Arabidopsis thaliana: one gene and its partners. The protein of the gene in region 4 interacts with the protein of the main gene of each other region in a pairwise test. Each region holds a gene or a part of one and is shown on either strand. Other genes may lie near its edges. The genes, in order: AT3G49160, ERF14, NAC095 and AT2G36930.

The links.
Region 1: the proteins of AT2G36930 (region 4) and AT3G49160 interact in a two-hybrid assay, tested with the Arabidopsis thaliana proteins (one large-scale study listed by BioGRID).
Region 2: the proteins of AT2G36930 (region 4) and ERF14 interact in a two-hybrid assay, tested with the Arabidopsis thaliana proteins (one large-scale study listed by BioGRID).
Region 3: the proteins of AT2G36930 (region 4) and NAC095 interact in a two-hybrid assay, tested with the Arabidopsis thaliana proteins (one large-scale study listed by BioGRID).

Annotation. Positions count from the first base shown.
Region 1 is NC_003074.8:18,219,261-18,228,772, forward strand, and holds AT3G49160 (pyruvate kinase family protein), read right to left. Parts: upstream 5,646-9,512; 5' UTR 5,470-5,645; intron 5,174-5,469; 5' UTR 5,156-5,173; coding exon 4,746-5,155; intron 4,674-4,745; coding exon 3,069-4,673; intron 2,990-3,068; coding exon 2,872-2,989; 3' UTR 2,618-2,871; downstream 1-2,617. Other genes in the region: AT3G49150 (F-box/FBD/LRR protein), read left to right, coding at 1-624, 704-765, 856-1,170; AT3G49155 (F-box/LRR protein), read left to right, coding at 2,074-2,345, 2,494-2,617; EMB2261 (Tetratricopeptide repeat (TPR)-like superfamily protein), read right to left, coding at 7,694-8,175, 8,270-9,512.
Region 2 is NC_003070.9:1,169,644-1,177,010, reverse strand, and holds ERF14 (Ethylene-responsive element binding factor 14), read right to left. Parts: upstream 1,979-7,367; 5' UTR 1,835-1,978; coding exon 1,433-1,834; 3' UTR 1,243-1,432; downstream 1-1,242.
Region 3 is NC_003076.8:16,441,614-16,449,001, reverse strand, and holds NAC095 (NAC domain containing protein 95), read right to left. Parts: upstream 3,348-7,388; 5' UTR 3,239-3,347; coding exon 3,070-3,238; intron 2,935-3,069; coding exon 2,465-2,934; 3' UTR 2,329-2,464; downstream 1-2,328. Other genes in the region: AT5G41100 (hydroxyproline-rich glycoprotein family protein), read right to left, coding at 1-29, 116-144, 298-366, 468-529, 606-677, 1,027-1,099, 1,457-1,573; GDPD2 (PLC-like phosphodiesterases superfamily protein), read right to left, coding at 5,167-5,401, 5,521-5,717, 5,826-5,921, 6,154-6,435, 6,525-6,584, 6,807-6,991, 7,075-7,144.
Region 4 is NC_003071.7:15,507,835-15,516,096, forward strand, and holds AT2G36930 (zinc finger (C2H2 type) family protein), read right to left. Parts: upstream 3,774-8,262; 5' UTR 3,611-3,773; intron 3,530-3,610; 5' UTR 3,514-3,529; coding exon 3,323-3,513; intron 3,196-3,322; coding exon 3,133-3,195; intron 2,886-3,132; coding exon 2,709-2,885; intron 2,597-2,708; coding exon 2,534-2,596; intron 2,271-2,533; coding exon 2,168-2,270; 3' UTR 2,064-2,167; downstream 1-2,063. Other genes in the region: AT2G36920 (B3 domain protein), read left to right, coding at 1,004-1,654; AT2G36950 (Heavy metal transport/detoxification superfamily protein), read left to right, coding at 7,382-7,840, 8,090-8,168.

The DNA of each region.
Region 1 (9,512 bases), on a different chromosome or scaffold from region 4:
ATGGTACCATGCCTCCAGATATCTTTGTGAGCAAGGCACTGGTTCATCTGAGAATAGAAACTGGAAACGGTGCCTTCATTGATGTGGAAGATGTTTTTCTTCCAAACCTCAAGACTCTATATCTTAATAAAGTCTTGTTACGACACAGTGATAACGGCTTTGTGAAGCTTATTACTAGTTGTCATGTTCTTGAGGATTTATTTATTATGAATATATGTTGGGATGGTTATTTGAAGCGCTCTCTATCTTCTAAAACCCTCAAGAGGCTAACGTTCTTTTGTGAAGACGTCCATGCCGTAAATCCGGAGAGTGTTTCGTTTGATACACCCAATCTTGTCTACTTTGTATACCATGATTGCGTTGCAGACAAGTATAAAAATATGAATTTTGATTCACTTGTTTACGCTAGTATCTGTCTTCAAATGACATCTCATCAGCGTACACATGCAAGCTATGAACATTTGGTCGGTAATGCAACAGATTTTCTTTTGGGAATAAGCAATGTTCAGATCCTTGAATTATTTGCCAATACCATTGAGGTTTGTATTGTAATCCCTTCTTCTTCTTTTTTGGCTACATTGAAACAAAAAGAAGACAAACAAGTTAGTGTTACATGCCTTGCAGGTACTTACTTTCTGTTGTGAACAAATACCGGTATTCAAAAACCTGGTTTGTTTAATTATTAAGACTGACCAAAAAGCAGGATGGGAGTCATTGCCGGTTCTACTCAAAAACTGTCCAGATCTAGAAAGCCTTATCTTCGATGTACTAACTCATAACCTTTCATATATTGCATTTGCTTACACAAATTTGTAAACAAAAATTGAGTTTGAAGTTGGTTACTCTACGATTCAGGGGCTCCATCACAACGATACAATTAAATGTGAGGATGTTGACGGGTGTCTATGCAAATCTTCACGTGGCATTCCTAGTTGCCTATCATCAAGTCCGGTGCAGTTTCTAACGATATGGAAATTTGGTGAAATTTGTGATGACTATGATGACATGGAGAAGCAGATAGAGCTCGTCATGTATTTCCTGGAGACAATGCCGAATCTTGAAGAAATGAAATTGTTCTACGATACACAAATTTATGAAGATGTGATAAGCAAACTTCAGATGTTAGTAACCTCGTCGAAATGCACAGTCTATATAATCCCCGAGGTCTAACTTCTACGTGTCTACGAATCATCTATTCGGTATCTACTAAACGGGGTTTGTTCTGTAATATGTGTATTACTCTTTCGCCTTCTCAATACGCATTTTCACTTTTGTGTTGAATATTATATACTTTATGTTTTCTCAAAACTTCAAAATTTAAGCTTATGTCAAACCAATTGTTCTGATATTGCAAAACAACCCCAAATCGTTACATTTAAATTTATCTTTGGTCCTCTCGCAATTTTGTCGTCTTCTTAAGTGCGAGCGAAATCGTTTCTGCATTTTGTAGGAGGAGTCATGAAATTGTACATTTTGTCTTACCCACCGAGAAAGCATGAGCACGAATCGAGGCTTAGCGATTTCGTTTGCTCACTAAAAACCCTAACTTTCACTTTTTCCCACTCTGCTCTCTGTTCTTCCGTCGCCGTGTAGAAATTTCGATCAGGTTCGTCTCTTTGTTTCATTCTACAGCTTGTTTGATCATGATGATGATACTTTGAGATTCTATGTGTGCCCATTGGCTCTAAAGTTCTCGTTTTTTAGTCTCTCCTCTTTGTGCTCTGCGTTTTTGTGCTCACTGGCTCTAAAGTTCTCATTTTTAAGTCTCTGCTTTTTGTGTTCTGCGTTTTGCAATGTGGAGAAGAAGAAGTGTTGCTTTATTATAGCGTTTTCTTTTCTCTAAGCTTTTAAGATACTAAATATGAGATTTTTTATTTTTTTGGCTTGTTCTAATACCAATCTCACTAATCTTTTACTGTTTACAGGGACTTGAGACGCACTTTGTCTCTCAGATCCTTATTCAATGCTCGCTGCTACCAACCATCTTGTAGCGGTATCATTCAACGTGATGATGTCCATGAAGAGAAGCCACATTACGGCTCTTTTCTTCATCAGAGATCCTTCAGCAGTTCGATGATTCTCTCTCAGCAGCATATGATGAGAAGCCCTTCACATTTCCCACTATGCTCTCCTTTTGGTGTCTCTACCTATCGGCCTATGTCGACTTCACATATTTCAGGCTCAGATGAGAGTGGCGATGTGAATCATGTTGCTGAAACTCTTACTGATTTAGTGCAGCAAGATACAGTCATCGAAGTTGCCGATGCTGCTATCGATTCCTCCATCCAATTAGATTTTGTTCAGCAGATAGTTCATAATGTGCATTCACTCACAGGCTTAAACTGGTAAGAAATCTTCTTCTTTTTTTTGTGTTGGTCAACTTTTAAATCATGTCATCCTTGGAGTTATTGTTGGATCACTTTTTTGTGTTTTTTTACACCCAAAAATGACCATGTCTTATATCAATCATCTCTGTATGTTCTGTGATTGCAGGTGGGCTTCCATTGTTTTTACCACCTTTCTAATTCGAGGAGTGACAATCCCTCTCATGATTGAATGCGAAAGATGGTTTTCAAAGAGGATGGTAATAAAACAATGTTCTTTCGTAAACACATGAGTTTTGTGTCTCAACCAACCAAAACACCGTTCTTGTTTGTGATTGGCATTACTTTCTATTTATACTGTTCACTGTTTGAAACACCATCATCAATCGGAATCATAATGGGAGAACTAGAATCAACAAGCTTAATCCTTCCATGTTATGATCTCTATTCATTCATCATATCCTAAATACATTGTACATTTCCCCTAAAATCTCTTTCTTATAAAACAACAATACGAATATAAATGGCCAAGCAAACTACAAGCAGATCAATGGAGATTTTCAGAGTCCGATTTCTTGTAGATAAGCTTGGTATGAAGAATAGTATCCAACATTGAAACAGCTTCAACGATATTCTTGCCTTTGTTTAACATCACACAGCTCGCCCTGCATATTTTCAAAATGCAAAATTAGACAAAGAAACTGCAAATCTTACAAAGATCATGTCTAATGCAAAATATTTTACCTTTTTGCATTTGCAGCATCAGTAATCTCAGCTCTAGTTGGAACTCCGGATTTCACAAGTGATTCAAGAACCTGAGTTGCCATAATCACCGGTACACGAGCAGCTTTACAAATAGCTATAATCTCCTCCTGCATATTAGCCAATCTCTCCCATCCACATTCCACTGCAAGATCACCTCTAGCTATCATAATTCCTAAAGGATTCGAACACTTCATTGCTTCTAAAAGAATCAAAGACAAATTCTTGAATCCACTTTTCGTTTCAATCTTTAAAACAATACCAAGATCATCTAGTTTTCTTTTCTTCAACTCTTGTCGAAGAACGGTTATATCATGGACATCACGTATGAAAGAAATACCAACCATATCAGCATGTGAAGCTACATAATCAAGATCTTTAATATCTTTTGATGTTAAGCCTTTGAAATGGATATCGCTCTGCGGTATGTTAATGGACTTCTCTGATCCTAGTTTTGTACCTTTTGGACGTGCATGAGTTATGGAGACAATTACCTCTGAAGGACTTGTTCCTTTTATGACTCCCCATATTTTTCCATCATCAAAACCAATGGTTTCACCAGGCTTGACTGAATCAAACAAATAACCGGAAGGACAAGTTAACCTATGAGCTCCTGGAACAGTTACAGATGGTTCATCGAGCGATCCTTCTCGGGTTATGACTAGTAAATCTCCAACTTTTAGCCTTACAAAAGATTCTTTGGGAGGAACATCTACTACTCGTCCAACTAAACGTCTCCCTTTCTTTCCCTTAACACTTAACTCAGTTCCACTTTCTATGTAAGCAGTGTCGAAACATTCAGCCACAAACCCGGTACTGTTGAAAACATGAAACTCTTTTGAGATTTTAAGTCTCCTCTTTCTCCCTCTAGCGTCACATAGTCTTATAGAATCACCAATTTGGAGACCAGCAAGAAAATCTTGGCCTTGGACCGATATAGTAGCATCAGGGGAAACATGAGCAGGAGGTTCTGTTCCTGTGAGGCAGAGCCATACCAAAGCAGGAGAAACAACATTTCCATAAGCATCTTTCTTTGGTGAAATTTTCATCACACACGGACCAGGTTTTAAGGTACCAGTTCTGAGTTTTGGTCCTGCTAAATCCATATGAACGCGACATGGCATCTCTAACATCTGAGAAGTTCTTCTTACTCTTTTGATGATCTCACCCCAAATACTTGGATCTCCATGTGCACAGTTTATACGGATAACAGATGTTCCAGCTTTAAGAATATCAGTTATAAATGTTTCACTCAAAGTTGCTTCTTCACCAATAGTTACCATGATATGAGTACTTCTTCCCTCACGAAGTTTACCAAGTAATGACTCTTTGTATGATAATACCCTCCCTTTATCATTCTTCTTAGTACTTTTTCCCTTGGGATATACATTAGTCCAAGACTCCGTCACAGCGTTTTGATCGTTCATCAAAAGATTAATAGAGGCGTTAAGGTGGGCGAGAACATCCAGATTGTTGTTGTCTAAACTTGACAGACCAAGAGAAGCTAGATGACTGTTGAGCTGCTCAATGTCCAGAGATCTCAAAGCCATATAATGAACTAAGTTTGTTGCACATTCCAGATACTTACTGCAACAGACGGTACTAGGAAATTAGGCGAAAAATAAGTAATGCAAACTATATATAAAATGGTTAACAAACCTGTCACATAAGTGTAGTTGAGAAGCATTCCATTTCTCTGCTGCTAAGAGATGTGACCGAAGAGCATTCAGTTTTTCGATAACACTAGCCACATTATTGGCCCCATTGCTTCCAGAGAGGTCTGCTTCTGACTTGAGATGAGACATAGCATCTTTAGAATCTGGAAAGTCAAAACTCCAGGTACATTCTGTGGAGGTATTATCACCAAAGGTGGCTTCCAATCTGCTGAAACTTTCAGCTTCGCCTTTCCCGCGAGCTAAGGCAAAAGCTAAGGTTCTCTGAATAGGAAGTTTCATGTGATTAAGTGATAATGCATAACTTGTCTTCTTATGTTGGTTGTTTATGTGAGACCTGCTGGAGAAGCAAAGGATCTTGTCTCTCAACAAGTGGCTTGAATCAAGTCCTACCATATCGACTAATTGAATCACCTGAGAATCAAAACGAAAAAGGAGAAACTGTTATAGATTGACACAGAGGTTAAAACCTAGGCATAACCACAAAGACAAGAAACGAAACATGTATAACGCAAAGAAAGAAAACAAAAAAACAAACAAATTCCAAGTTCGTGAAAAGGACAAAAACAAGCCTACCACAAATCAAAATCCAGGAAACAAATCATATCTAAGCAAATAAGTTTTCTAGGCTACTGGAATTGAGAAAATATCTGGAAGGAATCAAAATCAACCGAAACTCATTCCCTAGAGGACAAGAACATGAGAAATACCTTTGTTATGGAGAAGCGCTTTGTTCAGATAATGTCTTCGCTCTCGTCTTGAGGAGAAGAAGAAGAAGAAGAAGAAGAAGAAGAAGAGAAGACAGATTTTTCAACGAAGAAGAAGAAGAAGAAGCAGAAGAAAGAATGATGAAGAATTTTCTTAATGAAATAAAAAAAGTTGTGGTTAAGGATAAAAAGGGAGTGTGGCGAGCGCGTGTCAGATTCATCTTCTCGGGGAATCTAGTAACACGGACGGATGAGGCTGAAAGGTCCCCATTATAAAACGACGTCGCTTTGTTTTTCTAAACCTATTCAGACAAGAGACCCAAAGATAGAAAAAAAAAGACCGGTCCATGCGGTTTAACCAAACCAATTCCGTGAAAACTGATTAATTTGGTTTATCTATTCCAACAATGGAAATTGTTTGGTAAATTTTAAAAGAGTTTGGGAAAGTAGCTCCTATTGTAAAAGAGTTTTATAATTAGACAAAGTCGTTTATGAATATATGAAACACTTAACTGACTATTTCAAATTTCAAATATATGTATAACTTTTAACCATGTAAGAACAAAAAAATAAGAATGGCTAAGTTTGCTTAATTAGATTTTGTAAAATTTGACACATTATTTCTAAATTACATTTTATTGAAACTATGATTCATTTATTGGATGTTTTTTAGAAAGTTTGTGAAAATTATTAGCGGATTTGTAAACTGAAGAATGAACATAAACCATTCAATCTTTTAGTTACGGGAATAATGAAACCTATAAATCGGTACAAAGTTACAAACACATTTCTAAGCATAACATTTGTTCAACACAACACTCTCAATAGGAATCTTATCCGTGGGAAAATCACAGTCTGAGTCCATTGTAGTTCTCTTATCCGGTAACAAACTGCACGGCTCCGGTGTAACCCTACTAGTAACTCCGGAGACATCCGTGCAGTTCCACTGCAGCTTCTTCGGGTCCGGCGACAAAGCTATAGTCACACTCGACATGCATAAACCCGTAAATGGACCATTCTTGATCCTTTCTAGCTTTGCCGAAATTGTAACGTTTTCTGCGGTCATGTCACGGTAATGGATATTGCTAATCTCCGGCAACGCCTTGGGATCAAACCCGCCTACGGGATGCAGCTTATACGAACCGGTCATCCAGAAAACGTATTTCATCGTCTTCATCGTAAATCTCCTAGCGAAAATGTCTTTGATGTAACCGCCACGTCCTATAGCGGTTTTGATTCGGATAGCGGATTGTGTGTTGATTAGTGTCACCTCTTCAGTTTTCGGAGAAGATGATTTCGATCAACAAAGGTCTTGATATCGACTTGAAACCGCCACTTCGATACTTCAACCACCATGACTTCCCTTGTCCATTAGTCGTTCTTTTGTTACCTAACAACAAATTTGATCTTATAAACTAAATATATAATTTTGATTCAATCTCATATATATATATCCATCAAACCATTTTAATGATTTAAGTTTTGTTGTGCTTACCGGTGATAACAACATCGGTTAGGTTACTTCCGTATACTAAACCAGTAAACCTTGCATCTCCGTATGACGGCAAAGGTGGAATCATAGGATATTCAGACTCATCCTGTTTGTTACAAACGAAATAAAACCAAATGTGATTATTTATCTCAAATAGAATGGTTGATATTTTTTAGTGCATTCATAAATAGGTGTACGATACTAGCTAAAATTTTGAGCTTAGATATATTTATTACCTGAGAAGCAAGAATAGTTGCACCTTGCTGGATAAACAAAGTAAAATGGCTTGTGAGGTTGAAACTTCCGGTGAGCCAACTCCCCGGCGGTACAATGAGTTGGACTCCACCGTCAGCCGCCAACGGAGTAAGCTTACTTATTGCTTCTCGAAACGCTTTGGTGTTTGAGGGTTTTCCATCTCCAATAGCTCCAAAATTCGTCAAAACCGCACTGTGTTTCCGGCAATTCAAAGCCAAATATTCAATACTCTTATTGCTTGTTGATCCCAAATTGCTTTGGATACGGGATTCCATCATCGGAAAACCGGATATTGCTAATACCACTAGTATCTTAAAACTTGTCTGAATCATCTTCAACTGTAATAACTTAAATAAATTAGAATGCTTCTCTTTATTTATTTTTAAAAAGAACGATCACATTGAACCCAAAATCCTCAAGATTTAAAATAACATTGAATAGAAAAGCCTCATTTGTGTATCTAAATCTCAAAGTCACCATTCACCAATAATCATTACAAGAACATTTCCCATCTTTAAAATGATGAAAACGATTCAAATCCCTCAACACAATCTCTCTACCAGAGACTGTCGATATATATTTCATCGCGTTATGGCAATCTCCGCAGACCCGTAAGTTCTTGAACACCCTAACCGGTCTAGATTTCGACGTGCTTATAAGCCCAAACGCAACCGCAATTTTCTCGCTGTGCTGATATAGTAACCTCTCCTTCTCCGCCTCATCATTCTCCTCCTCTAGCTTGTGAAGAACAAGATCCGTATCAGGAACATATCCGCAGCGTTTTATTTCTGTAATTAACCGATCCAATTCATCATATATTTGGTGAGCATTCGGGTGAGCTGTATCACCTACGTAGAACTTATGAATTTTATCTCCCACTTCTATCCAACTGCAACCTCCTTCTTTAACCAAGTTTCTCTCTTTCATCTTCCTCCTCATCTCCGTAGATTCTTCCCATTTCCCTACATAGAAATATTCAACAAAGTGTCACTTTCACACAAGGTAGATCAGTAGAAGAAAGAGTTTTATCTGATTGTGTTTGAATTATATAGATACCTGCACAAGCGTATATGTTTGAGAGCTGTATATAAGCTGCAGGCTCATTCGGATCAAGTTCTAAGATCTTCCTCGCAGCCAACTTTCCGAGTTCTGTGTTACTGTGAACTCTGCAAGCTCCAAGAAACGTACGCCATACTAAAACATCGGCTTGGAAGGGCATTGTGTTAATGAACTCAAATGCGTCTGTGAGAAGCCCGGCTCGACATAGAAGATCAACCATACAAGCATAGTGTTCCATCTTAGGTTTGATCTTGTGGTCTTCATACATTGAATTGAAATGTCTCCATCCTTCGGAGACCAAACCAACATGGCTGCATGCCGATAAGATTGCAACATAAGTGACCTCATTTGGCTTCACCCCTTCTTCTATCATTTGGTTGAATGTTTCGAGTACCCTTATAGCGAATCCGTGTTTAGCGAAACCTGTGATCATTGAAGTCCACGAGATGACATTACGATTTTCCATAAAATTGAAGACTCGGGAAGCTGTGTCAATGCTTCCACATTTGGAATACATAGAGATCAAAGCATTGCAGACGGGTTGATTGCACGAGAGCCCGAGTTTAACCACCTGAGAATGGATTTGCTCGCCTTTTCTTATTGAACCAACATTTGCAACTCCACTCAACAAGCTAGCAAATGTGAAAGCGCTAACACCTAATTCTCTCTCAGTGATCTCACTTAAAAGCTTAAATGCTTGCTCAAAATTCAAGTTCCTGCATGTTCCGTCAAGAAATGTATTATACGAAACCAAGTTCTTCTCAGAAAGTGACTCAAAAGCTCTCTGAGCATCTTCCATCCTGTCAGATTTAACAAACATGCTGATAACCGAGTTTGCAACACTGCTATTCGAAGCAAGCCCTCTTTTGAAAGCTTGACCAAGAACCTGTTTACCTACCCGTGGATCCGAAAGATTTCCACACGCCTTGAATGCACTCGAGAAAGTGAAATGATTTGGCTCAACATGACCTTGCGTTATCATTTCACTAAAGAGATTAATAGCCTCTGTAGCGAGATTACAGTTTTTCATATAACCAGTGATCAATGCCGTCCACGACATAACACTATGATCCTCCATTCTATCAAACACCTTCCTGCAATCATCTACCGAACCATCCGCAGAACATTTCGCATACATATCAACTAAACTACATTCAACATCATCCACAAGCCCTGATCTAATAGCCCAAGAATGCAACTGCTTTCCCAAAGACAAGTTCTCCAACTCAGCACAAGCCGA
Region 2 (7,367 bases), on a different chromosome or scaffold from region 4:
GTACCAAAGATAAGAAACAAATGGTGTGTGTGTGTGTATTTGTTGAAACATGTGTGGTTTATATTGGATCTTTAGATTCAAACTTTGTTTACTTACTCTTCTCGAGGCTCCGTGGATTCAACAATCTTTATCAAGAAATTTGATCGAATTGTAACTAGTCAGAGCATCAGATTAGTACCTGTCTAAGGCTTTAATATATTCCCCTAGGGTTTCGTAATGATTCAAGAACAAGCAAAAACGCACTCGTCGAAACAATTACATACCTCGACGAGACTCAGGGTCAACACGGTTCTCCGATTTGACCTATGACCTATCGGCGGCGGCGAGAAGGGGTTTCAGGTGATTAGACTAGAAGGTTTGACTGACGGTGGCTAACCGCCGGTGGGCCCAGAAGCTACGACACCATTGAAGCAATCAAAGAAAAGATTGGTGGGGACGAAAAGGGTTTCTGTGTTATAAGCCGAGCCCGCATTATTTTAAGTTAAAAGTTAGTGCAACTGAACCAAATTTATTTATTCATGTTTGTATGTAAACTATGTTTTTTTTTACTATATTTTTATTAAATTGTATTTTATCATTTTAATTTTAATTAAAAACTTCTATATAATTTTCCAACTAAAATGTTTTTTTTTGTTATATTAATATTTTTATCTTGGGACGGAAAACAAAAATTAATGCCTTTAAAGTATATGGTTCTAGCTTCTATGGTGATCCTGATTCCTGATAGAAGCATGGAATTAACGCCGAAGTCTCTCATCTCATCTTCATGGCCGTGTGGTGTGGGTGATTTTCTTTCTCCACGTATTTATATTTTGTCTTTAAAAACTCATCTATCAACTCAATGAATTATTGTCCCCACAAGTTACTAAACTCATCAGTTGCTTATAAAAACTATTTTCAAAATGTACATGTATATATGCGTCTACATATGCCTTTCCAGTATAATTCATGAATGGAAGAGCAATAACAAGCAATGGTAAGATGAATTCCATATTTCAAACGTATAACACAATGTACTTGTACATGCTGGTAGTTATATTAATTAGAGCGATGTAATAGGTTATATTGATATCTTATAAATTTACTTTGATTTATTTTAAAACGTTTAAGCTCGTTTAGATGAATCACAAGAAGGTAACAAATATATCAAATCATAATTACACGTCACAAAACATAAAAGAATATGTTTCACATAATCATTATTTTCATTAATATTTTCTCAAAACTAATTGCACAAGGAACCGTTTGAACTTTGAAGTTCAAGAAACTAAGATGACCCGCTTAAAGAATCTTATTCGTTACAGAAATCGATTGACAATTACACTTCATGCCAATAATTGAAACAGCTTTGTACGCTTGGGATTTTATTTTATTTGTTATAACTGAAAATGGTCTTTCACATAACTTTCAGTTAATACCGATTGTATTCCCTTTATTGCCTCTTGCCCATGTTGATATTATGAGTCTTGTTATAGTTCTCTCCATATTCAAGAAGTTCATCCAAAACGCTATCGTCCAAGTACTCAAACTCAAAAACTTGCTGCGACGAGGAAGAAGAATTAGCCGCAGTGGATGAGGATCCGGTTCCCATGTTATACTCGTGAGGGAAGTTGAGAATGGCAGCTTTGCCTCTCATTGAATAGGCGGCTCGGTCATAGGCTCGAGCCGCGTCTTCCGCAGTGTCGAATGTCCCTAGCCACACACGCTCTCCGTGCTTCCTCGAATCTCTTATTTCCGCGGCGTATTTACCCCAAGGTCGTCTCCTTACTCCACGGTACTTCCCTTGCTCGGCTCCTCCTCCTCCACTACCACTGCTACGACCTCCTTGATCCATATATCTGTGTATGTGTATATACTGTTGTGCGTCAGAAGAGAGACCAAGTGACAAAGAATAATAAGAAGAATTGGATGTTCTAAGAGTTGGAAACGGACACAAGATGTAGCGTCTGTTTTTTTTTTTTTGTCTTTGTGTGTGTTTTAATTTTGCATGGATTAAATGAGATTTGATTTGTGGAATTTATAGGCAAGGAAACAAGTGGGTCCATCAACCTAATATTCGAAGTTCGAAAAACTCCACTTATGAAAATTATGTAGATGTTCTTTAGACCTTTTTTCTCCTTCAACATAGATGTTTCTCATAAAATAAATTTTCTTTTTCTTTTTCTTTTTTCATTTTTTTATAATAGATTTTATTTTGAGAATTTTGTATTTTACATATATGTACAATTTTTTATGGCTATAATAATATACATGTATGGGGTTTCGGAAATGTACAACATTAATAATATGGTAAGAATCATGTGCAACAAAAATATAAAACAATTTTTTGTTATATCCTTGAAATTATTATATTTTGCGTTTATATTTTACATTATATCTAAATTATTAAATATTTATATCTAAATAGAGCTTATAAGGTTTAACTCAAGTTGAACTTTTGCAAAAAGTAGGAAATTTATGATAAAATTAGACAGTCTCTTGAACTAATTATTATAGAAAACTATATTTGTATGGTATTTTTTGGCAACAGCAATGGAATTTTATGTTACCAAAAATATGATGTGTACTGAATAAAAGAGTTGATTGGAGGACCCATAGGAATATGTTTGACTTGGGACTTCGTTAGTGCCCACGTGGGTTGACTCTCAAAACCGACTCAGAAGCTTTCGTTGGACCATAATAAATTTTTTGTTTAATACAGAATCTACGTGTGGGGGTCTAAGTTCTTGACATGACTTTACATTTTGGAGAATTTTTTCCTTCTAGATATATTTTCACATCAATTAATTTTTATTGAATAATTTGCAGTAGATTAGATCAATTAACTTTTCTTAACATCAAGTTTACGAACATACCACTAACGAAGAAGAACAAAAACGTTTACTAAGTACATTGAATCGGCCTTGAATTGTTTTCAAATTATGCATATATTCTACATAAAGCTGGAAATTCATTACTTATTCTACCTTAAAAGAAAATATAAGATTTTGTTTTTCAAAATGTCGTATAAAAAATTGAGCTAAATATTAATCGCTAAAATTTTTTATGACATTTGAACTACTTTCTCCATCTTTGCCAACGTACGGTACCTGAAATCTCTAGAAATTTGATCGAATCAAATGTTGGTTGCGTTTGTAACTTTGTATATGCATTGAACAAATAAAAGTTTTTATATTAGTAAGAAATGTTTGTAAGTTGTGAACGCAAATACAAAAGGTATTCGCAATTTGATTTTATGCTTTGGAAATCACGCTTCCCATGTACGATAATCTACATTTTTGTTTGTATTTAAAAGCATTAATAAGATATCATATTTTCATTAAATATAATCACACCATTTAGTCCTCTAAAATATACAAAACCAAAAAAAGTAGTCAGCTTAGAATCAAGTAATTTGTAATTGCCTTATACACACTACAGTATATAGTTGTTAACTGAAAAACAAGAATCAACAGCCTATAATACCTTACATACTCTAGAATCTGAATCTTTTAACTTAAATATACGACTTCGTTGAGCCAACAAATATAACTTTCTTTAGTTAGCTAGGTCCACAAAATTAATCGCTAAAGTTCCATAAATATAACAATAGATGTCACAGTCAATAAGAAACTTATACGGAAGGACTTCGTATAAGTGAACATTCCATAAATAGTATCTTTCACCCGTAAATCTCAGATATTTTACTGACACTATACTCTGTCGAAATTGACTTTTATAAACCTATTAGCCTAATCGTCACGTGGGCTTTTCTAATAAGTCATTAACGTTAAGTCAGTTGAAATAAGGATAACGACATGTCCAATGTACCTAGTTGATCATAAATTCATCATCATGGTCACAATGTACCTACTTCTTCAAGTTTTCTTTTTGTTACCTTTTTAAAAATATATATTTTAAAATACACTAATTGGCCCTTTTTGGCTGCTCCTAATATTGGATTCGATCTTATAGGTGTCCGTACATATTCGAAGTCTTTTTTTTTAGACTAGAAAACAAAGTTTTGGAGTTCCCTTTCCTTCTTTGTTCTTCTATCATATCTGAGTTCCTTTCCCTTTCAATCACATTAAAATAATGATTACGATTTTATTATGTCGTTTAAATCTGACTTGCCTTTGACTTTGAATCGGTCCACGACAAATATTTTTTTGGTAAGTTATGACAATTGTTGTAGTGCCTGTATATTTTTTTTAAAAATGCTTAAACTGTCGCATAAATGCGACCAAAAAATAAAATACTGTCGCATTAATGTTTTATTTTGGATAAACCGAGTCTATGAACAAACAAACCAAAACAACCGAAAACTGGGCGACAAAAAAACAACAACTGAAAACTGATTTTGTTGAAAATTCTCGGTAGACGGTAACAAATATCATCGAAAACCTACTGTACTTCAAAACTTCCTTGTTCCAAAAAACAAAAAACAAATCTAAGGATTCTTTTATATTTGAAAAAGAAATTTAAAATAGAGCCTGATTGAAAATAATTATTATTATTCAATTGTTCATTTTTTTTCTTATCTTCAATATACATTTCCGACGTCTTTCTTGAATTGAAAGGAGAGATGAATCTACGTTTATTCAACAATAAAAAGAATTAAATTTAAGAAGATTGGAATTAACGTCTATTCTATTGTAAATTAATAATCTCTGGGAAAAAGAAGATTGTGTGGTTTCGATTGATATAGAATCAGAATCTATATTGTTGTCGCCATTACGACTAGTGTAAGTAAGGGCTCTCGAGGTTGGGGACAACATATAGCTAGAACTAAAGTCTTTTTATGTCTTCGTGCATGAACCTACCAATTGAATAACATAGAATCTATAGTAAAAGGTTTATTTCAGAACAAGAACCCTAACATATAGATGAAGCTTTTAACTAAAGGTTATAGAATATCAAGGATTTATGGGTTAATCTATTTCTTTTACCAAAATCGATAATACGTTGACCAATTTTTTGGATAATCTTCGATCAATTACAGCGGAGTTCCAATGGAACAGAATTTATTAACTATATTTTTATAATTAGCACTATAAATAAGAAATTTATAGTTTAAGTACCTTTTAACTTTCATTCTTTTAATTTGAGAACAAAAATAACTTTAATGAACTCAAAGATATTCATACAATATTATGTATGGTTAATATTAATGCTACACATTATTATTTTCAAGATGACATACACTAGTTTCATTTTAAATATATTTTAAAATTGACACAGTTTATTTTCATTTTAATAGATTGACATAATCTTTGCACACTGAATATATGATGGCCCAGCCCAAGTTCACTCGTGACCCACATATGGTCCACGCAGCTGCCCAAAATGGGTCTAGAAAAACTAATGGAAGAATGGCGAAACATAATTGTTTTTTTTCCTGTCAACGAATGGAGAAAGAGAAAGTGAAACAAGTGAAAGCATTTTTTTTTACAGTTCTCTTTTCTGGTAAAGCATTTTTTTATCTTTTTTTTTTGTTGTCATCAGCATTTATTTATGGTTGTTCAAAAAAAATAAAAAAAATTATGGAAACAGAACAGACGATAGAACAAATTACATCACATTATTCAATTTTACACTAAAGAAATTAATTTTATTTTTGTAACATCTTGCTTTATTTTATTAAAATGAAAACAGAGATTACATAGTTATTTCTTAGACATACACATAAAACCAAAAATTGATTAAAATTTAAGAAATTAATTAACTAGATAATTTAAGTTAAAAAAATTGTTTTTTGTAAATTGTGTCTCATTAAATTATAGGATGTTTTGACTCGCACACATATCAATGGTTCAAAACGTTGACCCCAGATTGGTTTCTTTAAATGGTAAAGTAAAAGTCAACCTTTAGTTTGAGATAATAAAATTTAAAAGCCAATTAATTTTCTTTTGAAATTTATTTACAATTTCTTGTTATGAGATCTACATTATTATATACAGTAACACTCAGTTAGATATTAATCTCTTGTATTTAGCCAAACCAAAAACCATCGGATCAATGCATAAGTTTTGGAATTTCTAGTAATTTATTTCCAGTTAAGTATGTTTTTATAGTGTAGCGTAGGGCTAGAAGACGATCCTGATCAATGCAACTAATAGAATCTCGAACATCAAAACAAAACAAAGAAAATTATAGAGATCGAGTTCATATCTCGGAGCGACGTGTATCGATGATGGTCTGACGCACACACGTGACCGACCAAGCATCACGTGCTGCTGAATGCTGATCCATCTCACCGTTGCTGTGTTGACCTGAGTCGTCGACGTGGCGCATGATGATGATCCTCAGGACCTCATTCTTAAAAGAGTAGTCTATAGTCAAAGTCAATTGTTAATGCGGAAACAAAATTCTACTATATTAATGAGATGCCTAGATTTCTTTTTTCATATTAGTTTTGAATTGTACAAATAATTGGATTCTAGTAAAATCCTCCCAAAATTGAACCAAAAGCTTTCACAGCTGTTGTCAGTCCATGTGAAAACTACTGATGAGTTGTTTTTCACAAGTTTCATGAATCAACTGTTTTTAATGGTGATTTAAGAAAGTTTAAATTTAAGTAATACAATGTCACTAAGTTCTATATGAAATATTCTTCTGCTGCTCTGCCCTGGTTGTAGTATTTGTTTATTTGTAATTACTGCCGAAGCATCAATTGTGATTTTGTCGATTTTTAGGTTTAACTGATGCAACACTTCAACAAAAAAAAAAATTAAAAAAATTTGTAAACATGGATCTGAATCTAATTTTGTCGATTTGTGATTTCTCCCACTATATTTTTTTTTTCTTTTGACAATCGTGATTACGGATTTTCATCGGGAGCCACTTATGAATATTAGTTGTTTGGATAAAAATAAAAATAATGCAAAAACAACAAATTACTTTCCACTAAGGGTTGTCTCCGTCGTGGGCACGTTTTCGTTTTTATTATGTTAGGACAAAACTAAGAACGCCATAAGTCGATGTGTATTTATATATCTTTTTGTGTTAAAGATGTGTATTTATACATCCTCTAACGTATTATAGAACATAAGTCCATCTAAAATTCGATTATATACACTTTGATGATAAATAATACACAAATACGTACACCCAAAATTACTCAAACAACTAACAAAAATAGTCACAATTGTTTTGCTAAAGACAATACATTATTGATAAGAGAAAAAGGTTCAAATATAAAACGAAACTATACTTCTCACCGGACCTATTATTATGTTCTATTCTGTCGTGAGCCAAACTCGTCAAACATAAATACACGATAGAGACTAGTGAGTATGGAAACATTGTCCTTCTTTATCATTTTTTATTTCTGTTTACCAGTTGTTGTTTTGTTTTTTGTTTTTTTTAACATCTCATCTCATTTCTTA
Region 3 (7,388 bases), on a different chromosome or scaffold from region 4:
GCTCCATTAGCATGTGCTTAACAACGTCTCTGTAAGTAAGAGTCAGAGGTTAAGGCAAGATTTTATCAAATCAAAACCGAGAGAATAAAAAACTACATTGCAGAAAGTCACTGACCTCTTTTCTTCACATTGTTGCTTCATATCCTGAGAGGAAAAGAAAAGGAAATACGACAAAATCAGCGGTCTTTATTAAGGTTGTGCTTTTTTGTTCACTTTAGCTTTAAATCTTGCTCAAACCGTGAACTTTTCCGGCTTTTAAATAATCTCTGACTGTAAAAGACCAAAGCTAGGGCATACCTCAACAGTTCTAAGGTCACTGAGAAGTGACTCTGAAGGTCGTGTAATGGTCTTGAATATTTGAGAACGCTGAAGGAGAAAAAAAAGAATGAAACAAGAACTACCTCAGTTTTGTTCATAATTATACATATTGCTTCATGAAAAGTACAAAGTTGCAACATACAACTTACATAAGTGTCGACGAGTTTCTTAAGCTCAAACTGAACTTTACCTAACATTAGAAGAATTCCACCTGCAGAAGAAACAATGTTACAGCATGGAAACAGGACAAACAAACGTCCATGATAGCTAAATACCCAAAATCTTACCACTTTCTTGATCATTATGAGGCGCGATTTGCTCCAAGCATGAGCCCATTTCCCCCAATGATTCAGAGAACTCTGATTATACCGAACAAAAGAAAAAAAAAAAATGATGAGGTCTGACAATATACTGATGTTCTTATATGAATCAACAAAGGTTTCTCACAAGGTTAAGAAAGTACTTAATGGGAAATTCTAGAGACACTAAAAATGAAGATTTCGCAAAATGATAATATTATCGAAGACCTCCGCTAGAAACAATATGAATGAAAGCTAATTCAATCCAATAAAGCTCGGGTATAGCAAGCCCCATCTTATATGAAGCAACCGTACACTTTACAGTCACAATGTTTGACAACATCAACCTTCCAAATTCATACATGAAGCTATAGAAGTGGAGATTCATAAAGGTTGAATGCTTATTTACCATATGCGCTATTAGCCATAGCAGCAGCTACTTCGAGTAATCTATCATAACCCTCTCTCATATCTTGCATATCCTGAAAACAATTGAGTAATAAGCTTAGGTCATAAAATGTATCTTCCAGTTCTAGTTCAACCAATCAACAACTAGCATCAGTTACAATATCAATTTCTTACCATAACTGATATAAATACCAATTCCAAATTTCTCCATAAGATAAGTCTATAAAAGTAGAAATTAATGAACAAACTTCTATAACTGTAAAAGTCCTGAAATTTCCAATTAGGGTGTGATTTTTGATCGGAAATTTTTATCCACAAAAACTCATCCAAGTTACAATCTTGTGATCAATAACTCACGATTTTGAAAAGAAAAAAAAAACTAAATCTCAGAGAATCATGAGAGAAGATCAGTGAAAAGAGGGAAAATTTACCTTGGCGGCTCGAGCAAGACCTTCAATTTGTGCAGTGGGAAAAAGCTCTCCTATATCAATCGCATCGGCTTTGGGTAATGCGAATCTTCTTAACCTTCCAAACGAAGCTTTCATCATATCTCCAGATAGAACTAAACAAAACCCTAATCACGAAGAAATTCCTCTAAGATTAATCGGCGCTTCGATGGTTTGCGAGTCGAAAACAGAGAGACGAAAGAGTGAGATATTTTGTCAAGTATCGTGGGATGTGTTCAACGACATTGAAGGAAGAAGAAGAAGCTAAAAAGTTTGAAGCTTTTGTTTTTCTGGTCAAAGAAACAGATCGAAGAAACAGCAGAAAGACGGAGGAGGAGAAAATGAGATAATCTCACGCGTGTAAGATGAACGGTTCAGATGAGAGGTTTGACACGTGGTGAAATCTCGAAAAGAGATGTTGAGAGGGAAAAAGTCAAAAAGTCAAAGATTTATGACAAAGGCGGAAAAAAGGTTTTTAGGTGTTTGACCGGAAGTTTTTAAGCTGGTCAAACATCTCTTTCTCTTTTTCATTAAGGCTTTTGAACAATTTGATTTTTGGACATATCAATATATCATATTATATAACATATATCATCTATCTTCTTCTATATATTATGACCCTCCTAACAATTATTGGAATAGAGAGATCGATTGATTATTACTACGACTCATATCAATAGTTTTCTTTAGGTGTAGGAGCGCAATTTAGCAAGGTAGGCGGACAATTGCTAACATGAGCCATTAGATGAGGGATGATCTCTTTGTTCTGGAACTTTTGTATCAGCGAGCAAGTGAGTCTCTCGAGCCACATAACCTAATCGATATATTGTGGAAAGAAAAAGAAAAAAAACCTAACCGATATATTGAAGTGAAATAAGCATCTTTAAAACAATAGGTATGCAACTAGAGGTAATAAAGATTTGGACGTTGACAGGTTTTGAGAGAATCTACAATCCACCAACACTAACAGTAAAACACTATATCATGAAGAAGCTAAGGTGTAGCAGGAGGTGGAGGAAGAACAGTTCCATCTTTCTCTTTAACACTATCCAAACTCTCTGCAGGCTTATCAACACTTTCATCTTCTTCTTCTTCTTCGGATTCGGATTCAGATTCGACTATATGCAAATTACCAAATTCAGGTTTAACCTTCTCGTAAAAGATATGACACAGAGTCCAATCAGTATCCACAACTGTCAATGGGAGGCTGATTTCATCCAAGAACCAATTGCATTGTGGAGGTTCTTCTTCATCGCCGTTCTTGTTATCAGATTCTTCTTCTTCTTCGTTCTCAATGAAAGTAAACGAATGCTTGATACCGACTAATTCGCCGCCATTCTTCTTTGGATCTAACACATCAGTTTTTTCTCCCGTTGGTATCCAGAGGTTATAAGATTTCGTTCTAGTAACTTGATTCTTGGGTTTCTTGCAGTAGAAGTACCAATGCTCTTCGCTTCCATAGCCTGAAAGAACAGAGCAAAAACAAGTTCACAAAATAAAGCTTGTCACGCAAGAAAGAAGTAGCCAAAGTTAAATCAAGAAACTCAAAAACTCTATCAAATCTGTTTTGTCAAAAGGATCGGAGAAAGTATTCTCACCAGGCAAGTCGCGAGGATGTGTTGAGAAGATATCATTACATTCGTCGGGCACAGTAAGAGCTTTCATGGGAAGTCCTAAAGCTTTCTTGATCAAAAAGTAAACAGCCAACTCCAAATCTGAAGGACGAAACCTCATACCTACTGGCAAAGCTCTGTATGTTGGGCCCATTATTCTCAGAACAAAAGAAGAGAAAAAGAAAACAGAAAGAGATGAAGAAAAAGAGTTCGTCGTCCAATGAATAAGCTCCAAGCTGCCTATATATTAGTAAGTTGTTACGAAGAAGTAGGGATTTTGTGACTGAGATAAACGCGAGCGAATCAAGTATTTATATAGCAACCTCTGTTTCCTAATCCTAATAGGACTAGGAAAACCTTTTTAGAAAAGGAATTGAATAGATAATATCACGCCACGCATGCATGAGCTTTAGTTAGTAAATAAGGGGAAAGTTACATTTTAATGTTATGATATTTGACTTTTTTTTTTACATCAATTAATGGAATATTTTTTTTCATATCGTGATTTTGTTATAATTATCATTGATTACAATGATACTGAAAAAAATGGAAGATAACATCTCGAAAATAAGTAATTAAACATATTTGGCAAAAACGAAAAGTACTTTTGATATTTAGGGTTTATCAAAAAAAAAAAAGTACTTCCTTTGATATATAATAGAAACTTATAGACCGAAATCCATATTTTTTTCAGTTGTCCTAAATTATTTCTAATTATTTTTTATAATTATATTTACATTATTTTGCTCAAAGCTTCCATATTATAAATAAACTGAACTTTGTGATTAGATAATTTTGAATTTCTATTCAAAGTAATATCAGAATTATAGTGAGCAAATTAAAATTTGAGTGTACTATAGCTATATCAATTAATACTTGGTTTTTGTTTTGGACAAAAACAATCAATACTTGATATAAACCGTATAAAGAAAATTGGATTCCAGTGTTGAGAGGTAGATATAATTGTAGTAGAAAACGTTTAAATCAAAGCATGTATGGAAACAAAACTCATATAAGAACAGTTACTTGAATAGATCAGAAATTTTAATTTAGAGACGTGAATCAGTTTCTAATTTTAGATTATTATATCAAAGAGAATTTATGTTGTGGCTATTGGAATTGGATTCTTGAATTTGATACTGAAGAGAAAAATAAAAACGAATGTCTTTTGTTTTCTTCATAGTTAAGGCAGAAGAGGGAGAGAGCATGAGTTGTAGTTTGATTGGAACTTCAAGCATCCTTTTAAAGGTTGGAACAAAGACAAATACTTCAAAATTCTATTGGGAATTAAGAATAATCTTGACTCAAAATATATTTCAACAAAACATATGTTAAGGCTAATTCTTTAGTCGCTAATCAATCCGCGACACGTAAATAGTGAATAATATCGACAAAACACCGTCTTCGAACTATCAATATGCAGCGGACTTTAGCACTCGTGCGGTCGTGCCTACAGACTCGTTTGTTTTGTGGTTTTTACTTGCAAACTTTCAAAAATTGAAATATGTGAAACTAATATCTTATGTCCATACTTAAGACTTCTGAAAATACATATCTCACTCCATTATAAAGCTTGACCTCTCACAAGAGATAAGCTGTATGTTTGAAGTCAATCTTCTTGCGGATAAGAAAAGCTTTACTAAGAAAAACACCTTCTCGCTTACAAACTACGTATCCCGTCATATCACTCTGACTCTATACCGAAAGCACATTACAATTGGTCACCTAGTGATATAACTAAGCTTATATAAAAGATAATCCATAACACAACCTTAAAACCATTTTTTTGCCCTAAAATGAGAGTTTCAAAGTCTAGATCCATCTTGGGCTTAGCTTGTTTTGGGTGACATATCTTAAAAGCTTATATAAAAGATAATCACGTATATATTTTCTAAATTTTTCGATTAATTAAAAAATAGCTGATTTTCTTTTGAGAAAGTTAATCCTTGTAAAAAGAAATAAATTTATAATTATTTACAATTCCAACTATTGGGTAATACACCCAGAATAATAATTAAATCAATAAGAAAATCAAACCCTAAAAAGAAACTTGGGATAAAAGAAAACGAAAAAACAGAGATATCAATGTTGTATCAACTGAGAGAGAAGCTTGAGAAGAAAAGAAATCTCCTTCTGTGAAAACTCAGGTCTTGTAATGGCAACATCATCATCCTTGGAAGGTGATGGTAATGGTGATGATGATGGTGGTGGTCTTATCATCATGCGTGTCGTGGACTCTATAATCTCCTCAACAAAATCTACAATCACTCCATCGATCCCCATCACATATTGCATGTACACTGCCTCTCCGACATTGCTGCAACACAATATTTGAAATAAGATTAAAATCTGATTAATCAGTGATCGGATCCAACAGCAATAAGGAAACAAACTTAAGGTCTTTAGACTTTATTAAGAAAAGTGAAGAAGGTTTACTTGAGTTTGCCGTATGTGAGGAGAGAGAGGTTAGATTCTTTGATCTTGCTAATGGCTGCTGGGTTCCTGAACACTCCTTTTACCTCTGAAACAATACCTTGAAGACCTCCTTCCAAGCAAACTTGAATGGCTTCTTCGAGCGAGTTTCTTCTCTCGTCATTGTGAATCTCGTTTCCCGCATCAGTCAGAAAGAAAACCTGGGTTCAGTTCATATGACATTGTTAAATCTTAAGTGATTTCTCCATGAAGAAGTCAAGAAGTTTTTTTTGGTATTTATCAAAGAAAAGAGCGAGAATGGAACATACAGGGTAAGTGCTCTGCAGTTCCCTAACAAGCTTAGCTGCATCTGGTTGGAAACTTGAGAAGATTACTGGTCTGTCTTTAGCATAATTAGAGACCACCTGTAGTTTTGTCACAGAATGGAAAAAACAGAAAATAATAAGTTAACAAGTCTCAATCAATCTAGATCCAACTTGGACCAGCAGTTTTAGGTCAACAGCATTGATACAAAAAGGTCTCAAGAGATCAAATTAATTGTGAGCACTTTTAACAAATGGTTCTATTGGACCCTAATAAATATTCATACTCCAACAAGAAAAAGAAGGAAGAATACGGAACTAGTATTGAGCATACCTGTAGTACTGATCTCAGGATATGGACAAGAAACTCTCGTTCATAGACGGTCTGATCATCAAATTTCAACTCGATATTGAACCCAAGAGTTTGTTCAACTTGTTCAAAAGCTTCTTGCAACGTACAAAGAGAATCATCCAAATCAACGTCCCATTTCAAAACCTTCCCTTCTTTAGATTTCCTCATCAGTGTCTTCCCTATTTTCTCAGTTTCCTTCTGAGGTCCATAAAGGAGAAACTCAGACAGACTCAGATCCGTCACTCTACTCTCATTAACAATACCCTGAACCATAACACACAAACACCAGATCCATGAAGACAAGATCCAGAAATATAAAACCAAGATCTATGAAGAAAGCAATGTAGACTTACATTTTCTTCAGAGTAGATGAAATCATCATGGAAAATGACAGGGCAATCATCTTTTGTCACCTACAAAAGAAAAACCACACAAAGCTTGGAATGCTTCTCTATGTGCCATCTCTCTCTCTTTCTTCAAATCTTCATGTTCTTATTTTTCATTTCAATTTCTAAGAATCTATAAATAGATATCTAAATCAGAATCTTCTTCCACACACAAAAACATAAACATAAAACCCCAATCCTCTGTCTCATTCAAATCCTAAAGTTGATTACATAGATCGGAGTACCAACCTGAACATCGAACTCAATGAAATCAATCGGATACTTAGCGGCGGAATTGAATGAAAGAATCGAGTTTTCTTTAACACCTCTCGCTCTCCGATCAGACGATTGCAACACATTCATACCGATTCCTCTATGTCCAATCACCGAAAACCCCGGTAACCTAAACGACGTCGGTTTGCTCAACTCTAAACCTGTAATCAAAGACAAGATCATCAGAAACGAAAACAGCTCAATAGCCGACGAAACAGAGAGAGAGAGACAGAGAGAGAAATACCTTCGGATAAACCGTAGACAGAATCCGGGAGGCTAGGGACGTCGGAGACGAGCACAGTTCTAAGAGCCATTTCTCAAGAGTAGAGATATAGAGAAGAGAGAGTAGATTAGGGATTTCGAAAACGTTTTTGTGTGAGGATTTGTGGGTGTTTTTTTGCAGAGTATTTATATTGAGAAAAAAGGGATATGAGGAAAAAGGAGGAAGGAGCTGGATATGCGTGTTCGAATATTCCATTCCACGTCAGCAATGTGCCTTTCTTGATGGTTTCTTCCCGCCTTTTGAGGGATCTGGTACGAACACAGAAGAGTACGGTT
Region 4 (8,262 bases):
CAAAACAATTCTTGACTTCGTTTCTTTGTGCAACACACGCGTGCGACCACACACACATATATGCATATGGGACACACACCATGATGATGATGACTACTTTGTTTTAGCTGTTGAATGCAAATAAATTTGTGTTTAATTATGAACAAACTTGGAAATTATAGTGGTGGAGAAGAAGAAGCACTAGCTCCTCTCGGCACATGTCGTTCACTAATTGAGAAATTCATAGAAGGCCAATAATTTAAGCTACAGTACTGGAATTCCCCACTTTCTATTAATAAAAGTTTAACAATGTCACCAAGGTTTTTTTACTCTTATTTTTTTTTTATGTAAAGTAGCATGGATACTGGAACTTGAACTACATTTATAACTTTTACAAATCAACGCAAGATTTTTTTTGTAAGATTAGATTATATTTTTGTGAACACCGTGAAAATGCAAATTAAAAATAATGAAAAGATATGCAACAGATGGATACTGGGAGTGGGACATAAGAAAAGCTCTGAAGATAAAACATGCGCAAGCAGAGAAATGGTATAGATCAAGATGAGATTTGCACCTCGATCCGTTTGATATTCAAGTCTATTACGCCTATTCCTAATCCAAAGAGGAACAGCGTTAGAAGAGTCATTTATCAAGGTGTTGCGGATGATGAATTTAGGCTCCGTTATGGGCTTGGAAACAAAACACTAGAGGGCCTGCATACTTTTCCCGATCACTTTGAGTGTCTCTTGTCTGTGTAACACTTAATTTAGAATTTCTTGGTGGATGCCTTAGCGGCGGGGTTTTCTCAAAATGTTATCACTCTTTTATTTGAATCCTTGCCAACATTTTGGATTAGCCTTTGCGAATAATATATATATATATATATATATATATATATATATATATATATATATATATATATATATCATCACTTGCGGTCTCATTAGTCCCTCATACAGTATCTCTGTGAAATCGTTATAACGATAACTCTCTTAGACGAAGAAGAAATCGCGAAACGAGAATGTCATTCTCAGACGATTGTACATCTCCATCGGAAAAGAATCGAGCTCGTACGAGTCAAGAACCACGAGAGCGCCCTCAAGATTTGTCTTTCTTGTCATCCAAGGTAACAGAGAAGCAAATTATGAGCCAAGAACCGTTTGAAACGTCTTGCTCCTCTGTTTCTCCGATGAACAGAGACAAAGAAGCCTTTAACAGTCGACATGGTCCATTCTCGAAAAACCAAAACTACTTCGAAAGTAATGACATCACCATGAACACTGAAAACCTGCTAAATCCTTTCCATTTCGGAGGAGGTTCTTGTGGTTGTGCCTTTTTATCAACAGAGTCGATGTTATGTTCTTTTACCGTTTCAGGTGAAGAACATGGCACAAACAATTCTGACACTTTGGGAGACCCAAGTAACATTTCTCTTCGTTGTTTTGGGAGCATTGAATCCATATTGAAGGTAGCAAGAGATGGAATAGAGATTACGATGATGCCTATCCCTAGACTTGTCAACAACGCACCTCAATGGACCATCAAGAAGAGACTGACCGAGCATAATGTTAACCCTACTTATGGCCAACTTCGTCTGCCCAGAAGCTTCTTCGAACAGCAGATTCGAGGACATCTGCCTGAAGCTGATTTGCAAAAGCGGACTCATTGTTAAGGTATAGGACAACGACACGAGCACAATGCATGAGCTGCGTCTGGCAGTACAATATACCTATGTTCTAACGGGTGACTGGCTGGAAGATTTTATCCAAAAGGAGAAGTTTGAAAGAAAGAGACGATATAGGACTCTTATGGGATTCTTCTGCTTCTAGGCTTCACTTTGGCGTGATTGCTCGTGGAAAGGCAATAGTTCCCCGGAAGAGAACAAGGTCTGCATAATGTGATCTCAATTACAAACGCATATCAGCAGCTGAGAGAGCTAGTGTTTTGTTCTTTCTATTTTGTCAAAACAACGATTGGTATGGCTTATATGGTTAAGTTTTTTATGCAACCAACACAAACAATATATGATTTATCAGATTTAAACTTCTAAGTGAAGCTAAACCAGTAACTGCATGATAGATACTTGGCAACAGACAAAAAACCTGTATCATTAATTTAGGAGATTATAGTTTTACAACAAAATTTCGGGTTCCATTAACTAAATAAGGAAAATAACTGTAAAAACTCAGGCAGACATCAGCTTTGGACCATTGTCTGGCATTCCCATTCCACCAGCTAAATCTGCATCGAGTTGCGAGTGTGGCGCTGGTCGCTCTATCTTCTTCACACTGCAATCACACAAAAATCCAAATGGACAATAGAAAGATATTAAGTCTGAGTACAGAGCAACAGACATGCATAGATCAATAATATAATCATACAGAGGTAATCAAGTTACAAGTGCTAAAACATTTTTAGCTACGCCAGTGACGAGAAATAGCTTTAACATTGCCAGCAAGATGAATTCAAAGTAGACGAGCACAAGAACCAAACACAGTTCCAAGATCAAAACAAGATAGAAACCAAGACCAAGGAAGAAGAATCCACATACCGCTTTTTGTGTTTCTTAGTCTTGAAATGATAATCCATCACTGATGCATTGGAGAAGTTCCGACTGAAAAATATCAAGGTAGAGAGACAAGGTCAATCAAATACAAACAAATGTTCACACAAACATGGAAATCTAGAGTAATTCAAAGATTGTCTTTTTGCACATATAATCTTACTGGCAGAGTAAGCAGTTGAATTGACCCATTCCAGGTAAATCCTCCGTCTCTGGTTTACGCAACTCTGTGAATACCAAATTAGACATCAGCTTTGGGCCATTGTCCGGCATCCCCATTCCCCCGGCTAAATCTGCATCGAGTTGCGAGTGTGGCGCTTGTCCCATCATCATATTCACACTGCAATCCAAGTGGACAAAACACATATAATAAGTCTTGAGTACAGAGCAACACTGCAACAGACATGTATAATCATACAAAGGTAATCAAATTACAAATGCTAAAACATCTTTAGGTACACAGAAGTGAAGAGAAATAGCTTTAACATTGCAAGCAAGAAAGTAAACGAGCACAAGAACCAAACACAGTTCCAAGAACACAAAACAAAATAGAAACCAAGGCCAAGGAAGGAGAAGAATCCACATACCGCTTCTTGTGTTTCTTAGTCTTGAAATGATCATCCCTCACTGATACGTTGGAGAAGTATCGACTAAAACATATCAAGGTAAAACAAACAAATGGGTCATATAGAGTAATTCAAAGATAATGTATTTGCTAAAAAAAAGTTTCATAAACCAAAAGAATCGTCAATAGAGTAATCATAGAATCTCTCTTACTCGCAGTGTAAGCAGTAGAATTGACCCATTCCAGGCAAATCCTCGTCAAGCTGTAACGGCTTAATCTCCGTCTCCGGTTTACGCAACTCTGTGTAAACCAAGTCATCGCCTTTGACTTCGAATTTGTCACGGCGAGCTGTTTTGTGAGATAATCTCCTCTTCTTCACTTTTCTAGTCGGACATCTACCCATTTTAGCTTCCTAAGTACTGAGATCGAATCATCAATTGAAAAATTAGTGACTAATTGATAAGAATCTAAACGAATTTGCAGATTAATTCAAAACTTACGATTCAGAGAAGAAACTGTGTAGGAGGAGCTGAAGACGACGAATGCGGAAGAGGAAACCCTAGAAAAAATATCAGTTTCGGTTATAAAGTATTGATTAACCTAAAAAGGGCGGTTTCAGTGATGGAGACTTTGACGCAAGGCCCATTTATTAAACAGGCTTAGATAGGCCCATTAATAATTAATGATTTGGAAATCAGTAATACATACGGAACCAATTAAGATCTAGTCTGAAATTATTCTGAAATAGCATTGTAAGATAAGTCACAGAGTTCTAGCAATGTACTTGGACCGAATTAGTGACAGAAGCGTAGGTTTACTGATAAATCTCATAACCTTGTTTTTAGGGTTCCATTAATTTATTAGTATAACAAGAAACCAATAAATTCTTAGAAGTGGAGAGAGCAAGGGAATGAAAGGCCTCTTTGCGTTGCATACTCTTAATGCTCCCCACAATGATGGTTTTGTTGTCTTGGGGAGGGTTTGAAGCTTGTTTCTTCTCTCTATAATTTTTTTTGTCACCAATACGTCATGTCTCCACCACACTTACTATCCCGAGTTTGAAATGCTTTCCAATTAATGTTTTAATAGAACCGATCCTACTTATGTTATGTGGATTTACATCTAGAGCAAGGACAATGTGTCATTCTCATTCCTCCAGCTAGATAATACGTGGTTAGCAAGATTTGTTTGAAATGTGGGACGTTCCTTTTTTCTTTCCAGATACTTCTACACCATATTGGTTCGTCAATGGGGTCTAATTGTTCTAATAAACTAAGGTGCTCCTGCCGAGGAATACAATAATTGTAACAATGATAGTGAAACAGACCGGTACCAAATCCAAACTTTTCATATTATTTATTAGTGTAATAATGTTGCATGGAGATCCATTTAGATGTTTAAAATTGAGTTCTTGATGAGTTGGTTCTACTTTGTCTCTGCCCCCACTAAACTTGATTTCAAAACGTTTCTATAGCCCATCTTTTTCATGTTGTCTTAATTATCAGATAGATTTTACTCTTTAGACTCCTAAGACCAAGTTACTGTATATCATTTTGATTATCTTATTTTCTTTCACTTTCTAACTGTAGTTTACTTTTAGGTTCCATTCCGTAAACATTGCTATCGTTTTGTGATGAACACAAATTTCTTTTAATTTGTTCTTTCCTCATTATTTCCTAGCAAAATGAATGGAAATTATATTTCATAAAATGAATCTTTAATAGTTTAATCCATGTTACAGCCATTTTCACCTTTACATGAGAGACAAATATGTACGGCGAACTTTCTAGCAACAAAAAACTGACATGCATGAAGATGGTTTTTTTTTTTTTTTTTTTTTGCCAGTCGCATGAAGATGGTTTATAACCATATTGAATGGTCATTTTTGTAAGCTACAACGAGAGGCGAGCAATGAGACTTGCCAAAAAAATATGAGGAAAAATGGTGACTTGCATGTGTACTTAAAATGGCACCATATGGATGGATGAAACTACTTAAAGGGTTGAAACGAGACGATTTTCTGTTGCCATATTTTTCTTGATTTTGTGTGGCTGTGTATACCATAATCTCTAATTGCAACCTGAAATTAAAATGGTCTATTTATGTTGCAATTAGTGATTATGTTTTATATTAACCTTGGTAAAGTTAGTTAAAATTATCCAAGTCAGCCTGACGTGTTACACTGTGGAACACGAAAACAAATCTTTGTAGTTTGTATGTGTTGAAATCGTATTTAGCTACATATAATAAGTGACCATTTCTACCCTAAACTTCCAAATTACTGAACAAAACGTTTCAAAAGATCCAAACATCGATTTTCAAAATACAAACACAAACTTACGTACGTTGAAGTTTGTGGTCATTGTGATCGTTAACTTTACGAAAGATTTTAGATAATAGACAAGAAAGTTCTCAATCAAACTCTATATTTCATGTGTATATAATAATATGTGTCCACCTCATGTATTACGTCACTCATAGGACCATATGACCAAAAAAAATCAACAAAACACAATGAAACATGATGTTGACAAAATGGACCGGTGAAAGGAGGAACGAAACGCAATTACGCAACCCTTGGGACATTTTTTTTTTTTAACTTTTCTTATCCTTTTACTGTTTATGCAGTTGAAAGATTTTCAGATAAAATTCAATTTTCACACAGCGAACCCAATATGTTAGCATTCAAAGAAAAGTAAAAACTCAGTGAGTTAATATTGCAATTCCTCTTGTCTCTATCTCTATACCGCAGCCCATGTTTTTTGTAGATAGGCGGTTCTTGGCTGTTTCCATGAAGCTGAAACTAACAAAACCAAAGTAATCATTTAATTAAAATCACTAATTGTGCTCTTTAGGAGAGCAAAATTCTTTTGATTTATGCAAGAATTTAAAAAATAATTATATAAGCTATTGGTGCTGAACGAATTATGTAAAGTAGTGTATGCCAGTAGGTGATAGTGATACGAATAGTGTATTACAACGAAACGTGAAATTACATTCTTGATACTCGAAAACATATACAATTTTTTAAAAAATTGTTCAGATATATGATACACATTTTTGTTGATGTTAATTTAGTAATATATGTACATTACACACACATGTCTCGAATTCTTCTATGTACTAGTATCAAATATATTAATCGGTCAAACTACTTGACAGATTAAAACCATGTGCGACTTCTCGTATAGCTTGTATTTTAAAGTTTTGATCTGATCTTAATATGCGTTTATTGGATCATATAATATAACATGTGGTATTTTAATATCATAAATTTTGGTTTCTTTTCCTAAAAATACAACAAAATATCTAAAACTTTTTGGGAAATCTGTTAGAAGATTTTTTTTTGAATCAATTGTAGTAAATCACTTCTTAAAATGAATTTTTTAAATAATATAAAACATAAAAGAGAAGAGAAGAGGAGGTTCCATCAACTTCACTTACAATGAGAAAAGACTATGCAATTTGCACAATCATGACTTTAACCAATACACATTTATCAGAAGAAAAAGAATCTATCTTTATCTTTAATCTCTTTACAAATTCTTTTTTATTGATAAAATTTCAAAAATGATGTGATTCAAAAATACAAAAATGATTTGATTAAAACATCACTTTTCTTCCTATATGAACTTGTAATAATAAACGAATTACCGGACTTCATAAAATGATTTGATTTCGTATTTAAGGCCATGAAATCTTCTAACTAAAGTTTGTTTCTGATAAGGTATAGGATGTATATTCTTTGAATTGTGACAATTGGTCGAATGTATTTTTACCTTAAACTGATATAAGATTCTGCTAATCTAGACTCAAGTCATCAAGTAGTCAAAGCTGAGAAATGATGCTCTTTTTGTTTTCAAAAGCAATGTTACCTTTAAGAAATCATTAAACTTGATCAACTATTTGCGTCACAAACAATTTTTGTTTTTAATATTATCCACGGATGATTAAAGTAATGTTGTTCAGAAACTTGGTGCCTTCGTGTCTCGTACCATCACTTGTGTCAAACCGGCGTCAAACGCCCACTCTCGCTGACCTCAGCCCCCAACAAATACACACATACGGAAATGAACATGTAATATCAAACCATATAATATTCAGTAAAAAATCAGTATCGATAATATAGTAAAATAATAACCTTCACGCATTCCTTCTTCTTCTATAAATACACACATTTGCCTCCACTTACTCTCGTTCAAACAATTCTTCGTCCTATTAAATACAAAAAATAAAAATCCTTAAAAATATATCCTTATCTTCAACCAAGAATGGGAGAGGTCCAAGAAGGTCCCAAAGTTGAACAAGAGAAGAAGCCGGCTGCCACCGTAGTCCCAGTTGAGACTACTGACGGCAAGCCAAAGAGCGGCGGAGGAGATTCCGCGGCAGCAGCAGCACCACCGGTCGCCGCGGTTGTCTCTGCCTTTGTTTACAAAGTGGATATGCACTGTGAAGGCTGCGCTAAGAAGATAAAGCGAATGGTTAAGCACTTTGATGGAGTGAAAGATGTGACGGCAGATACTGGTGGAAATAAGCTTTTGGTGGTCGGAAAGATTGATCCAGTGAAACTCCAGGAGAAGTTGGAGGAGAAAACCAAGAGAAAGGTGGTTCTCGCGAATCCACCGCCAAAGGTAGAGGGACCTGTTGCTGCCGCCGTTGGAGAGAAGAAAGCCGATGGTGGAGATAAGGAGGCGGCTCCTCCTGCTCCTGCTCCGGCAGCTCCAAAAGAGGTATAGATCTAATTGAATAATAACAAGAGACAACTATACTTTTGCTACTGTACGCCAAGTTCTTGACGGTTTACGTTAGCAACTTAAAAAGAATAATAGTAGTGTGGATCACACTAGTTAATTAGGCAGATAAGCTAAAGTCTAAACGAAAAAAGATTAGGCAGCTAAAACGTAAATCCAGATTTTATTGTCTAACAAAGTATGGTTTATGAATTTATTGATTTGACTTTTAAATTGTTTGTTGTTCAGAGCGTGGTGCCTTTAAAGATCAGACTACATTGCGAAGGATGTATTCAGAAAATCAAGAAAATAATATTGAAAATCAAAGGTAAGAAGGGATTAATAACCAACGAAAATTTATTAATTTTTGTTTTTAATAACCAAGTAAGTTACTAAATTTAGAATACAAAATAATTTAACTA